Bombyx mori: one gene and its partners. The protein of the gene in region 3 binds, or shares a complex with, the protein of the main gene of each other region. Links are inferred from orthologs where the notes say so. Each region holds a gene or a part of one and is shown on either strand. Other genes may lie near its edges. The genes, in order: E3 SUMO-protein ligase NSE2, EP300-interacting inhibitor of differentiation 3 and structural maintenance of chromosomes protein 5.

Region 1 (4,170 bases), on a different chromosome or scaffold from region 3:
TTTAATTTCCTGATAATAAACAACCAAATAAAATAAACAAATACCCTTTTTTGTCAATTCACATTTATTATATTATTAAATGAACTTAATGTATCATGGTCGAGTGTTGCGACAATGATAATCTAAATCTCAATTCTTCATCTTCCAATAGATGGTTTTCTTGAATGCTTTCTGGATTGGCACATCCCGCAACTGCAAAGTAAAATTGTAAAATTAAATAGTGGTGGTTGTAAGCAAAAGTAAGTTTATTTTCAATCACCTAATCAACGACTGAACCTGAACTGTAGAATACAATATTTCGAATCACCGATCACTAGACTGATGAGATAATTATAACAAATGAAGAATTACCTGGACATCTGATTCTATGCTTCCTTCTTATGAGATTCAAAATAGTCTCTCTTTCATACACATGGCCACACATTGTATTCTTCACTGGATCTGATATATGTTTTTTGGTAATTGGATCTAGCTGAAAATCGAAAATTTTAAAATTTTAAAATCTAGTGGAAACTTTTACATATTAAAAATAAAACTGAAGTTTCAGATAGACTAAAAGAAGCTTTTATAGAGGTTCGAGAATCTCATTTTCTGAGATATTTTTCACATCTGAATGAACTTTGAGTAATTACTGTACAAGCTTTATGGTTGTTATATAGGTGAGTGTATATACAGGTTATTTATTTCTTTACAAATCAATATCATCAAATTATACCTATTAAAATAATACAATTATATTGGAATAATACTTACAAACTGCTCATTTGTTTGGACAATAGCTATATCAGATTCATTCAGGTTTTCTGTAACTAAAGTGTTTTATATTAATTTTACACATTGGCAAGGTGCAATTTTTTCCTGAATATATTCAGAAAGTTAGCAGAGCTGATTATCAAAAGAAAGAAATAAAAAATAATATTAACATTAAAGTCAGTCAATGCAGCAAGTCCCCGATTTCGCAGCATTCTTCAGCATTCCTGAGTGCTTATGTCATATCCCTCTCAAATGATGTGTGCATAGAGTATTCAGCAGTTGCAGCTTGGCAGTATCTTGGCTGTGCCCCTGGTATTGCTTACGATCATGAGTGATGGTAACCATGGCCCATATGCCTACAATGGCGAGATAAAAAAACAATTATTTGTTTGTGTTAAGGAAATAGTTGTTTTAAGCCTATCCTGAATTACAATATATTTATAAATAATCTTATAGTAGTAACAATTCCCTAGTTACAAATAAAAAATGGAAATTAATTACCTACTCATTCTATTATAAAGATGAACTTCCATTTAAGAAAAACAGAATTCAATTCATGTCAATACTGATTGGTAGTTTATTTTCATATTTTGGTATTGTTTGAAAGTTGAATGGAGTTTCACTACTCATAATACTGAATAGTTGGTTACCCAGTAATATCATATTAAACTATATTTAGATCCAATACTCACGTCCTGATGAAGATACACTTTGTAATCCACTTTCATATCTAGTCTTTAATTCTTGCATGTATCTATGGCTGTTAGGATTAATTCTGTTCTGTGAAAGAGTTTTCAGGCCATCCTCGAATCTTTCTTGGAGTGTATTTATGTTTGATATGTTAGTATCTGCCTAGAATTTAAACGAAGAATTTTTAGATTCTTAATTTCTTAGTATTTTATAAAAAATGTAAAAGATTGCCCTATGTTTTTCCGCTAATGAAGTAATAATGATTCGCTAAAAACATTATCGTTATTTATATGTACAAACGAATTAATTGCGCTATGCTGTTCTATGTTATACTATGTTCTGTTTCAGAAAAAATGTTGCAAACGTGTTGAATATTTTGAAATATTATGTATATATTACACACAACTAGTTTTTTTTTTTATTATTAGCTTTGTTGTTACATAGAATTTACTTAAATTGAAAACGATAAAATCGTACTTTTTCAACAAACCTTTGCTGCCTCTAAAACCTGCTCAGCAACTTCTTGTTCTATTTCCAATAAGCAGTAGTTTTCCATGTACATCTTAAGTTTTTCATAATTGTCTTCCTTGTCCTCTTGCAAATATTTAGCGACATTTTCCGCAGTCGAGATTAAGCTTTGAATACACTGCTTTCTCAGATCTCGAATGTCTATATCAGCCATAATTTCAAATTTTCAAATGTCATAACAATAAAATTTTATGAAAGAATACGCTTTTTTCTTTATTAGGGATTGCCTAGGCAAAGGAAGCATAGCACATACACTATTTGTATTCTAATTTCAAATTCATGATTTTTTTTGTTAGCCATATTATCGTTCGGAAATTGAAAGAGGCTTGTTTGTGTGAGTGGGCTCGGGCCCAATGATGGTATTTAGGGCCCTACCCACTAAGCGACTCCCCAACACTTTCTTCCAAGCGTCTTATCCCCTTCGAGGTCAGAACCAGGGCCAGGTCATGAGGTTACCGCGTTAACACTGCAACCAGACGCACCTTACCCCAAGGACTCCCGTCCAACGGAGTCTTCGAGGCGAAATAAAGGTTCTGAAACACTAATCACCTGAGTACGGTTGCCAATAAGGCCGCCGAGGCGGTGCCGCTAGTGTATCGAGATACCCCAGTAGTTCGGAGCAGAGATTATATACACTGAACATGTTCGGAGTCTGCCGGGTCCGGAGGCAATATCCCACCAACAGGTAGTACAGATTCTTTGCCTACCTCAGATTGTAATTAATTTAGGCTAAGCTTTCCTTTGTGGTCCGTCGATTTCGAAGTTCACAATTTTTTTGTATATAGTGCTCCTAAATAAAAAACTTTTTGCAAAATTTTAAGTTGCGAAGACGGTAGAAGTACGGTTTACGAGTTAACAATTTTTAAAGTTTCCATATAAATTAGAAAAATCGTCAAGTCATAGTTGACGTTTTACGTTCCGTTCACGGTAAACGTGTATTTTATAAAATTTGATGTCATGTTTTTACCGAAATATATTATTATCTTATTTTTATTTTATTATTTTAATATATTCACATAGTAAATTTGTTTATAATTAGTGTGCACAGCAATTGTTGCTGTAAGAAGCAATTATATTGACGTTTTTACACAAAAAGTAACAAAATTTTGTTTACACTGTGGAACGGAACGTGAAATGACGCATTTTTTTATAGCGTCTTTTTATCTGTCTGTAATAAAATATATTTTTAAATACATATTATAATTAAATAATTTTTTTATTATTTTTATTAAATATTTTTTTTTACAATTTTTTATTTATTACTATTAAATAAAAAATAGTAAAATTGCTCGTGTTTTGGTAATAAAATTGCATAAATATTCGAAAAATATCGAAAACCGAATCAGAGCACCCGACTTTCCACTTGGTCTTGTCTGCCCTACCCCTAGAGTGTTTTTAAAAATACCGGAGGCGCGGAGGGAGAGCAGTCCTCGCCTGCTGTGACGGAGCACGGAAACAGTGCGGAGCAGAGCACGAGTGACCGTGCTTCGGCACGCAAGGGCGGAAGGATTGCTCTTCCCGCAGCGCCCGAGATAAGACGGATTCAAACTTAAGCTCCCTTCGAGTTTGACTAAATAATGCAATTTTTATCAAAAAAATTAACCATGGGGATCTGCGGCTTGGTGACGGCGCAGTAGTAAGCTCTACACCCCTCCTTCCTCGAATCAAAAATAATGGACCATAATTGAAATTTTAACTCTATGTTGACTAAATAGTGCTATTTTTAACCTCAAAACATTAACCGTGGATATCTTCATAACCATGGAGTTCCGCGGAGTGGGGATGGTGCAGGGGTTAGGCCTTACTTCCCTCCCTCCCGACTCAAAAATTAATGGACCCTCATCTAAATTTTAACCCTATTTTGACTAAATAGTGCTATTCTAACCTCAAAACATTAACCGTGAATATCTTCATAACCATGGGGTTCCGCGGGGTGGGAATGGTGCAGGGGTAAACCCTTACCCCCCTCCCACCCCGACCCAAAAATCGACGGACCATAAAAGAAAGTTTAACCAAATTGTATATTTGCTTGGATAATAAGATACATAAATATACGCATCACTTTAAAACATTTTACTGATTTCTCAAATATGATCGTTGTAAATAAGTCTCCATAAAGGTATTTATTTCCTACTCAACTATTATATGTTAAGTGCCGTATAAAAGGTAAGATTGGAAGTTTTTTTTAAAACGCGATTG
Region 2 (4,440 bases), on a different chromosome or scaffold from region 3:
GCAAGCTTATCTTGAAAGTGTCGTAAGCAAGAATCAGGCATCTGTCAAATATCTTGGCTACCGATACAGACGGTTCTAAACTTGAATTGTATTATTACAATATGAAGACAAGGAGAAAGGGGGGATAGAGGTAGTATTTTTTATGGATTTAATTATGTAGTTTCATCATTTACTTCAATAGATTAAATATCAAATACATCCTAGTCATCATTGGCTATTAGAAACAGCATTAGACAGCTAACCAAAGATTTGTCTGGAGTGTTATAATATATTGAAGCCGCTTGGCTTGCAAATGTTAAGGCTTAGATAATGCTGATAAATCTTTGTTTAGGGAGCCATATATTACAAACCAAGAGACTGAAGGTTAGCTAATATTCTTTTAATAATTTTGTAACAAGGCAACGCAAAGCAGGTGTATTTGTTTTGATTTCCGTTTAAAAGAATATACATTAATTAAAGTTGAGTAAAATGCTTAGGCTGTTATTCCCTTTTTGGCTTCAGAAACAGTTCCCTTCTACTTAATTTAACACTATTAATGCTATAGAAATGTGACGGTGAAGAAATAACATCGTGTAATAAAAATCAAACCCGCAAAATTATAATTTGCGTAATTACTGGTGGTAGGACCTCTTAAAAGTCCGCGTGGGTAGGTACCGCCACCCTGCCCATTTCTGCCGTGAAGCAGTAATCCGTTTCGGTTTGAAGGTTGCCTGAGCCTTTGTAACTATACTTGAGACCTTAGAACTTATATCTCAAGGTGGGTGGCGTATTTACGTTATAGATGTCTACGAGCTCCAGTAACCACTTTACGCCAGGTGGGCTGTGAGCTCGTACACCCATCTAAGCAATAAATAAATAAAAAATGTAGAATGTACAATATCTTGAATTACTAGAAAATACTGTCATATAAATTTAACTTAATATTTAACTCACAATGTGCTGTGCTAATTGGTTCTTGTCATATAAATGCATGTTCACATCAACTGTCTCGAGGCACATCTTCGCTAGGTTCGAAGATGCGTGGAGGACCCGAGCGTCCAGCAATCCCTCACCTGCAGAATAATAGACTCAGAACTATTCTGGAAACTGAGCAGCTTGCAGAATTTTGTTGATCTTTCTTACTTTCACTACTCGAGTTGTACTAGGTAAGTTAATTTTGATTGTAATCTCACAGGACACAAGTCCCGCTTGATTTATGTCAGACATAATTAGTCTCAGTATAGTGTATTAATATACAGTTTATAACTTATCAAATTTAACTGATTTTATCTCCTTTAAAACTTAGTGAGTTATCAATGAAATGTGCTAAAAAGATCTAATGTCATGGCTTCATTAACATGAGTAGATATACTGACATATAGGAGTTTGCTTATAGGATGCAGAGACATCTTAAGAGCACTGCACTTTGTCCCAGTCTATAGATCCCGGCAGACACACATTTTTTTTTCCTACCTAAGCTGAGAGCCTTGAGAGGCTATATCAGCGTAGCTTTAACTAGTAGGTGAGCTCACGGGGCTCAAACCTGATGACGTTGCTAACACGAACCCTAGCAAGTATCGTGCTTCGCAGAATCTACCACCGAATGAGAAACGCAACCCACTGAGAAGATCCGGCAAGAAACTCCGTGGGCTGTGTCTGAGGGTTAATTTACTCGTCGAGCCCTTCGTCACAAGCGACGAGTTCGACGAGAGTGATGACCGGTGCTTGAGGTACCTAGAAGCACCATTAGTGGATCGGGACGATCCGAAATGACGTGTTTGGGGCGACGTCGACTGCTTTCCATGTCTGCAGAATCGGGAATCTGTCCACAGGATCGGGAATGTGAAGACACAAAAATAGGCATGTGTACCACTCGATACATCTTAGAAAATTAAATATTGAACATATCATACCAGGATGTTTGCTGCGATGGTCAACACCTCCTTCCTGGACCAGTTGCTTTGCCTCTTTCACAACTTTGTGTGTAACATCTAGACATTCTTGATTGCTCGCATTTTGATCTTCTGTTTGAACATAAATAAAAGATTTTAAGTTAAGGTATATTATTATATATCTGAAAAAAAACTGCAATGCTAATTATGAAATATTGTAATCTTTAAAAGAGTTTCAGATCAGCCATGTTGGTATGACATCAGTCTGGTTCCCTGTGGATTAGAATTAGTAGCAGAAAAAAGATGATTTGAAGTTAAATCTTGCGTGGTATGCTGAAGAAGGCTATAAAACATTCCAAAGGACAGAAATATTAAATTAAAAATATTTATTAGGTAATTAATAAATTATCACAAAATTCTGAGGGCAGGCGTATTCCCTTAGCTTTCGATTTTCAAATATATAAATGTACAGGTTGGATTGTCCAGTCTGTACATTACTGTAAGATAATTATCTCCCTGCTTCATTACTTATTTTGAGGAAGCGATTATGAATATTTAGTGTGTGTTATTTACAGTTTTATTTAATACCCAGGTCCCAAAAAGTTTTTAAAGCCCACAATTCTATAGAAGTTCGGCACTAAATGTAACACTTACTTGTACACTTGCCGAGGTTATTTGTAAAATAAATATTCGTATCTTACCTAGAGCAGTTACAGTTTCGTACATACTAATGTACTTGCTTTTCCGCTGAGATGAGTTTAATTCCGCGGTACTCATTATTACGAACTTTATTAAAGAAAATGTACCTACTTTATTTATAATTATTTAGGGGTAGATATGAATTGCAGTTAATAAGCTTAGGTTACTGATTCAATAACGTCGTATGCACAGAATGAGAATAATATTACTTTGAGCGAAGGTAGTATGTAATGTACAATTAATACTTTTTAAATTCGTGATTGTTTAAAACAATAGAATAACTTCAACATTCAACTTTCAAATTCATTTGTTGGGATTTTATGACCTGGTAACTAGGACCTTTAGGTCATGTCATATTTTATTTTATATTCTTAATTTTATAAAAATGCTAATATAGAGTGAAATTAAATGAAATAAATGAAAATGATTAATTTGAGACATTAATGAACTGGAATGAAATGAAATGAGATGAGATGGCATGGGATGGTGTAATTAATGAATAATGGGTAAAATGGTGGTCATTTACCGAGGATTTTTCAGTGGACTTTTTGGAGGATTCTGAGAAGCTACGTCCAATGGGTTTGTTTCATTTTCCCACATTTGTGCACTTTCACAGATATTAAACAGTTAATAAACCACCGCTATTACACATTTAAACCCGAAGAAACACTAAATAGAGAAAATAAAACAACACACAACTTCACTCCTCGCGTTCCCGCCAAAAAGTTCTTTCAAATTCAAATACAGTCCATGGCATAATTAATATATTAATTTAAGAGTCCATGCCTCCATGGTTCGTTTTCGCAGTTGACAAGATTAATCTACTTTTTGGCGGGAGAACAATTGGTTTCTTGGGTGATTATTTGTTGCCAAGATTGAGTTTGTAAAAATCTTCAGCTATAACATTTTGTGGAGGGTAGATGTAAAGTACACCATCCCAGTATTAAAAAGTGTCCGCTGAACGGAAGCTAATTGAGATAGCGCCGTAGTAGCAAGTGGATCGATTAAAAACAGCGTCATAAATTATGAATAATTATTATAGTAGGATTATTATTAATATTATTAAGGAAAGAAACACTTCCTACGTAAATAGTGATAAAAATATTGAAGTGAAATTTTAAATACTGCACAATTTTTATCTAACTACACAAGTCACGAAAAATATAAAATTTTTAGCCCAGCTCACTTTACTCTGCTTAAAATTGCTATATACATATAATTTCCATTTTCTACCTAAAGCGCTATATTGGTTTCGGTTCGGTAGTTTGCTGTTTACACTTGGGTACACTTTTTCAACTTTTTTTTAATCGATGTTCATTCCAAACTCCTTACACAGAAATCCTTTAGAAACAGTTTCAATTATTCGATTCCTACAATTAGGTATATACATATCGCCCTTAGATCATTGAAATGTTTAATCCAAAATTATCGTTTTTTTGTAAACTCCAATTTAATGTAATGGAAGAAGAAAGAAGATTTCAATATTTGAAGGTATGCGCTTGACTTAAAAGCGACGGAAGGGTTACTTTGTCTTATTATTCTGGACTAAAACAGACTGTTTAATTTTATAAATCGATAGAATACATGTTTATAAGGCGTTCGAAGTATAAAACTCATTTTTAATTAAGCTACTTAAATTCTAAAGGTGCGATTTGTTTTAATAATATAGATACCTACCGTTTATCAAATAGATCGTTATCCGAAATTCTAAAAAAAAAAAGGTACTATTCGTCCAGGTCCATCAATATTGTGTGATTATGACATTGAAGCTTTAAGTATTTACCATCGCTTTGCCTGTTACTACGAAGCAAAAATGTGTTCTTTGTATAAATTTTCTGCAAGTTAACCCACTTTAACTTTTGTTTATCTT
Region 3 (3,654 bases):
GGCAGGGTGGTGGTGCGGACTCACAAGAGGTCCTATCATCAGTAATAAGAAGTGTTAAAAGGGACTTTGTAATTGGAATAGAGAGTTAAAGGTTATGTTGAAATAGTCACTTAAGGCCATCAGATTAGGTAGGAAAATAAAGAAGGCTATATATGTTGTGCACTGACTGTAGCGCGCAGGTGCGGATGAGGTCGGCGTCGCGCGCGTTGGCAAGCAGGCGCGGCGGCCGCACCTCGCCCACCGTGCTGGCGCGCGCGCCGCTGTACTGCGACACGCGCACGCTGAACCGGTGCCGCGCTGCAACACGTATATATATATATATACACTAGCGACCCGCCCTTGCTTCGCTTCGGAAACATTAAAGTTTATTATAGATAGTTGAGTCCCGCGATGTTACCCGGGGCTATTGTCGTACCGCGGGTGAAGCCGCGGGGCGAAGTCAGTCTAAAAAAAGTAGCCTAAGTTACACAACAACGTCAGTGAAAGTCTCGTCAAAATCGGTCCAGCCGTTCCAGAGATTAGCCGGAACAGACAGACAGACAGACAAAAATTGTAAAAATACTATTTTGGTGTATGTACCGTATATATATTTATATGCATGTAGTAAAAAGCGGTTATTTCAATATTACAAACAAACACTCCAATTTTATTCATATGTGTAAATATAATTAGAAATCACGATATATAATATAAAGCGTGGGGTGTTTCTCAGGATATTATCAAAATAACCTTTCTACTCATATCTGTGCATAAAGTATTTATAACTACTGATACCATGCACTCCACGGTTTTTTTTACAATAAAATCATTTTTTCTTACACTATTTTCATTTTTTAGTTGAATTTCAATTTTTTCAATATTTTTTTTTAAAAATTGAATTGTCATCGATCCTTATCAAGTATACCAAATCTCGAGTTAATCCGACGTTTTGGAAGAGTCTCAAAATAATATTCAAAGATTCCGTTACATACAAACATACATACGTCTGAATCTAATAAAAGCGTATTAAAAAAAAACTCACTTGTAAAAAACAGCGTGACGTGATCCGGCACGTTCTCGCTGTGGTGGTACGTGTGGTCGTTCCCGATGGGGATCCTGTGGACTTGGTACTGCTCGCACAGGTACCGCAGCACCGGGCCCGGCGCCGCTATGCCCTCCACCAAGGTCCTCTGGAACCCGAGGTAGCTGCAACGTAACCACTCACTACAGAACGCGAACTAAAACCTTCAAAGGGACGTTTAATATCCTCCGAGGTTTTATTGTTTAGATGGGTGGACGAGCTCATAGCCTAACTGATGTTAAGTGGTCACTGGAGCCCATAGACATTTTTTTGGTGACCCGGCGGCCTTTCCAGTTTCACCAGAACAGGTGGGCGAGCAAAGGCTCAGCCAGGGGGAGTGGGATTTGCTAACAGCTGCCCGAGCGCCTCCGAAGGAGATCTAACAACTCAAGAGCAGCTGCTTCGCGAATGAATCTACTACCGGATCGGAATCGCGAAACATAAATGTGCCACCCACCTTGAGATGAGTTCTAAGGTCTTAGTTTAGTTAGAACTTATATCTCAATGTGGGTAGCGCATTTACCTTGTACAATGTCTATGGGCTCCAACACCCACTTAACACCAGATGGGCTGTAAGCTCGTCCACACATGTAGGCAATAAAAAAAAGGACTGGTCCTTAGCCGTACCTGAGTTCCCTGATGTCGTGGTGGGGCGCGCTGAAGTCCCCGGCGCGGCTGCAGAGGGCGCTGACGGCGCGCAGCTGCAGCTCCTCGCGGACCCTCTGCAGGAAGAGGTTCATGTCGCGGCTGGACTGGAACGTGAAGGCGACCAGGTCCTTGCTGGAGACCGTCGACTCGAGGTAGCGGGCGGTCTCCGGATGCGTGAATTTCAGCTGACGGAAAACGATTTCGTTATTTCCTTGTAGGCATACGAGCATACGGCCCACCTGGTGTTAAGTGGTTACTGGAGGCCTTATACAGCTACAACGTAAATGCGCTACCCACCTTGAAATATAAGTTCTAAGGTCTATAATTACAACAGCTGACCCACCCTTCAAACCGAAACGCATTACTACTTCATGGCAGAAATAGGCGGAGTGGCGGTACCTAACAGTGCGGACTCACAAGAGGTCCTACCACAAGTAAATTTCAGTCCAGTATTTGGAGAAGTATTTCCATTACCTCGAGCATCATGGGCCCGTAGACCTGGTCATGGAACAACTCCTTGTTCTCGTTGAGCCATTCCAGCGCCTTGTAGGTGTCCTCGCTGTATTCTTTCAAAGTCTCTAAACGCTTCGTCTCGACGTCTTCTAATTTCCTTAATCTGAAATTCAGGACAACGGGTAACGACGAAAGTCCAAAATTAACATATATAACACATATTATTACGCCGGTAAGAGTAAAGGCATCTATCGCCGAATAGCCGAAACGAACATCAAAAGCACTAGTAACGCTGAGAAAGCTCGAGAAGTACAATGCCATCTGTTGTCAGATAGTGGAAACACACATCGAAGCTACTCGACTTGCCCAGAATGTTCTCGATAAATCTAGGGATGTCGTATCGACTATAAAAGCGTTGCAGAGATGGCACGCAGTCAGTCACTTAATAATCAGAACTACTCAATGCGAAACAGCTAACGGATCACCTGAAGCGAAGCGGAAGAAGTGAATTAAGAATTTTAAAGTGCTTTGTGAGTGTTTTAAGTGATAAATACAGTTTTAAGTTGTACTTTGGTAGAGCTTTTATTAACCCCGAACCCCAGCGCGAAACAATATTATGTACGCATTTCATCATCGTTTTGTTGTTATTATGTACACAGGTCAGCCAGGCCCCGTCTCGCGGCGGTCGGCTAGAACTTTCATTGCAAACTAAATAAGCTCACTTGTTTTTCAATATCCTAAGGTTGGGTAGAGTCTGCTGTTCATATTCCATCTCCTTCCTGGCTTTGCTCCTCTGAATGCTGTGGATTTGTGATTGGATCTCGCTTATACGTTCCCTCAGCGCTCTTGCTTTCTCACTTGCTATTTTCTCTGAAACATGTCAAGGCCCGGATAAGTTGCTTTTGTAAAAACTTCAGCAAAGCCATAATTACCATTTTTTATGGTTTAATTTGACGTATTCTTACTGTAGTTATATGGTCAGTTCACAAGCTAGTTATTATTATTATTTAGTTTTTAGATGAATAACACACCTTACTCATATGTGACCAAAACTGAACTGCAACAGTATTTGATATGTCAGAAACGTTTGGTAGCTGCAAACGTTCCAACTCCATACAATTTTGAGTTAGCTTTTACACTATCGAAAACATTAAAAATCTAGCACTACGCACACTGAGTTCCTCAACCTCCCTTGTTTCATAAGTTTCAAACCTTAGCTGTTATATATAGCAGCTGCCACATTATGGAAACTGTATCACATAGCATACAAAATAATTTTCTTACGAACTTTTGTTTTTAAATTTTCTCCAAGTTTCATATCTTAAAGATAAGAGAAAAAAAAGGAATGTGGTTTGTGTTGATTTAGTGACTTTCTCGCCTCAGTTCTAGACCATGGACCATGTGTCTAGTGAACTCACCGTCGCCAAATTTCTCAATGAGGCTAGTTCTGTCGTTCTTCAGTTTGTCGAGTTTCGTTCTGGCCTCGACCAACT

What was found.
Region 1: structural maintenance of chromosomes protein 5 (region 3) and E3 SUMO-protein ligase NSE2 share a complex: the UniProt entries of both Homo sapiens proteins name them as parts of the SMC5-SMC6 complex. The link is inferred for Bombyx mori from reciprocal best matches to the Homo sapiens genes SMC5 and NSMCE2.
Region 2: structural maintenance of chromosomes protein 5 (region 3) and EP300-interacting inhibitor of differentiation 3 share a complex: the UniProt entries of both Homo sapiens proteins name them as parts of the SMC5-SMC6 complex. The link is inferred for Bombyx mori from reciprocal best matches to the Homo sapiens genes SMC5 and EID3.

Annotation. Positions count from the first base shown.
Region 1 is NC_085128.1:13,903,180-13,907,349, forward strand, and holds E3 SUMO-protein ligase NSE2, read right to left. Parts: upstream 2,859-4,170; 5' UTR 2,126-2,858; coding exon 1,934-2,125; intron 1,606-1,933; coding exon 1,446-1,605; intron 810-1,445; coding exon 754-809; intron 473-753; coding exon 352-472; intron 193-351; coding exon 86-192; 3' UTR 42-85; downstream 1-41. UniProt on the Homo sapiens protein: E3 SUMO-protein ligase component of the SMC5-SMC6 complex, a complex involved in DNA double-strand break repair by homologous recombination. Is not be required for the stability of the complex.
Region 2 is NC_085130.1:15,844,771-15,849,210, forward strand, and holds the start of EP300-interacting inhibitor of differentiation 3, read right to left. Parts: upstream 2,876-4,440; 5' UTR 2,649-2,875; coding exon 2,573-2,648; intron 2,004-2,572; coding exon 1,893-2,003; intron 1,053-1,892; coding exon 934-1,052; intron 1-933. UniProt on the Homo sapiens protein: Tissue-specific component of the SMC5-SMC6 complex, a complex involved in repair of DNA double-strand breaks by homologous recombination.
Region 3 is NC_085134.1:7,478,138-7,481,791, reverse strand, and holds part of structural maintenance of chromosomes protein 5, read right to left. Parts: coding exon 3,580-3,654; intron 3,032-3,579; coding exon 2,884-3,031; intron 2,325-2,883; coding exon 2,183-2,324; intron 1,894-2,182; coding exon 1,688-1,893; intron 1,186-1,687; coding exon 1,022-1,185; intron 298-1,021; coding exon 168-297; intron 1-167. UniProt on the Homo sapiens protein: Core component of the SMC5-SMC6 complex, a complex involved in repair of DNA double-strand breaks by homologous recombination.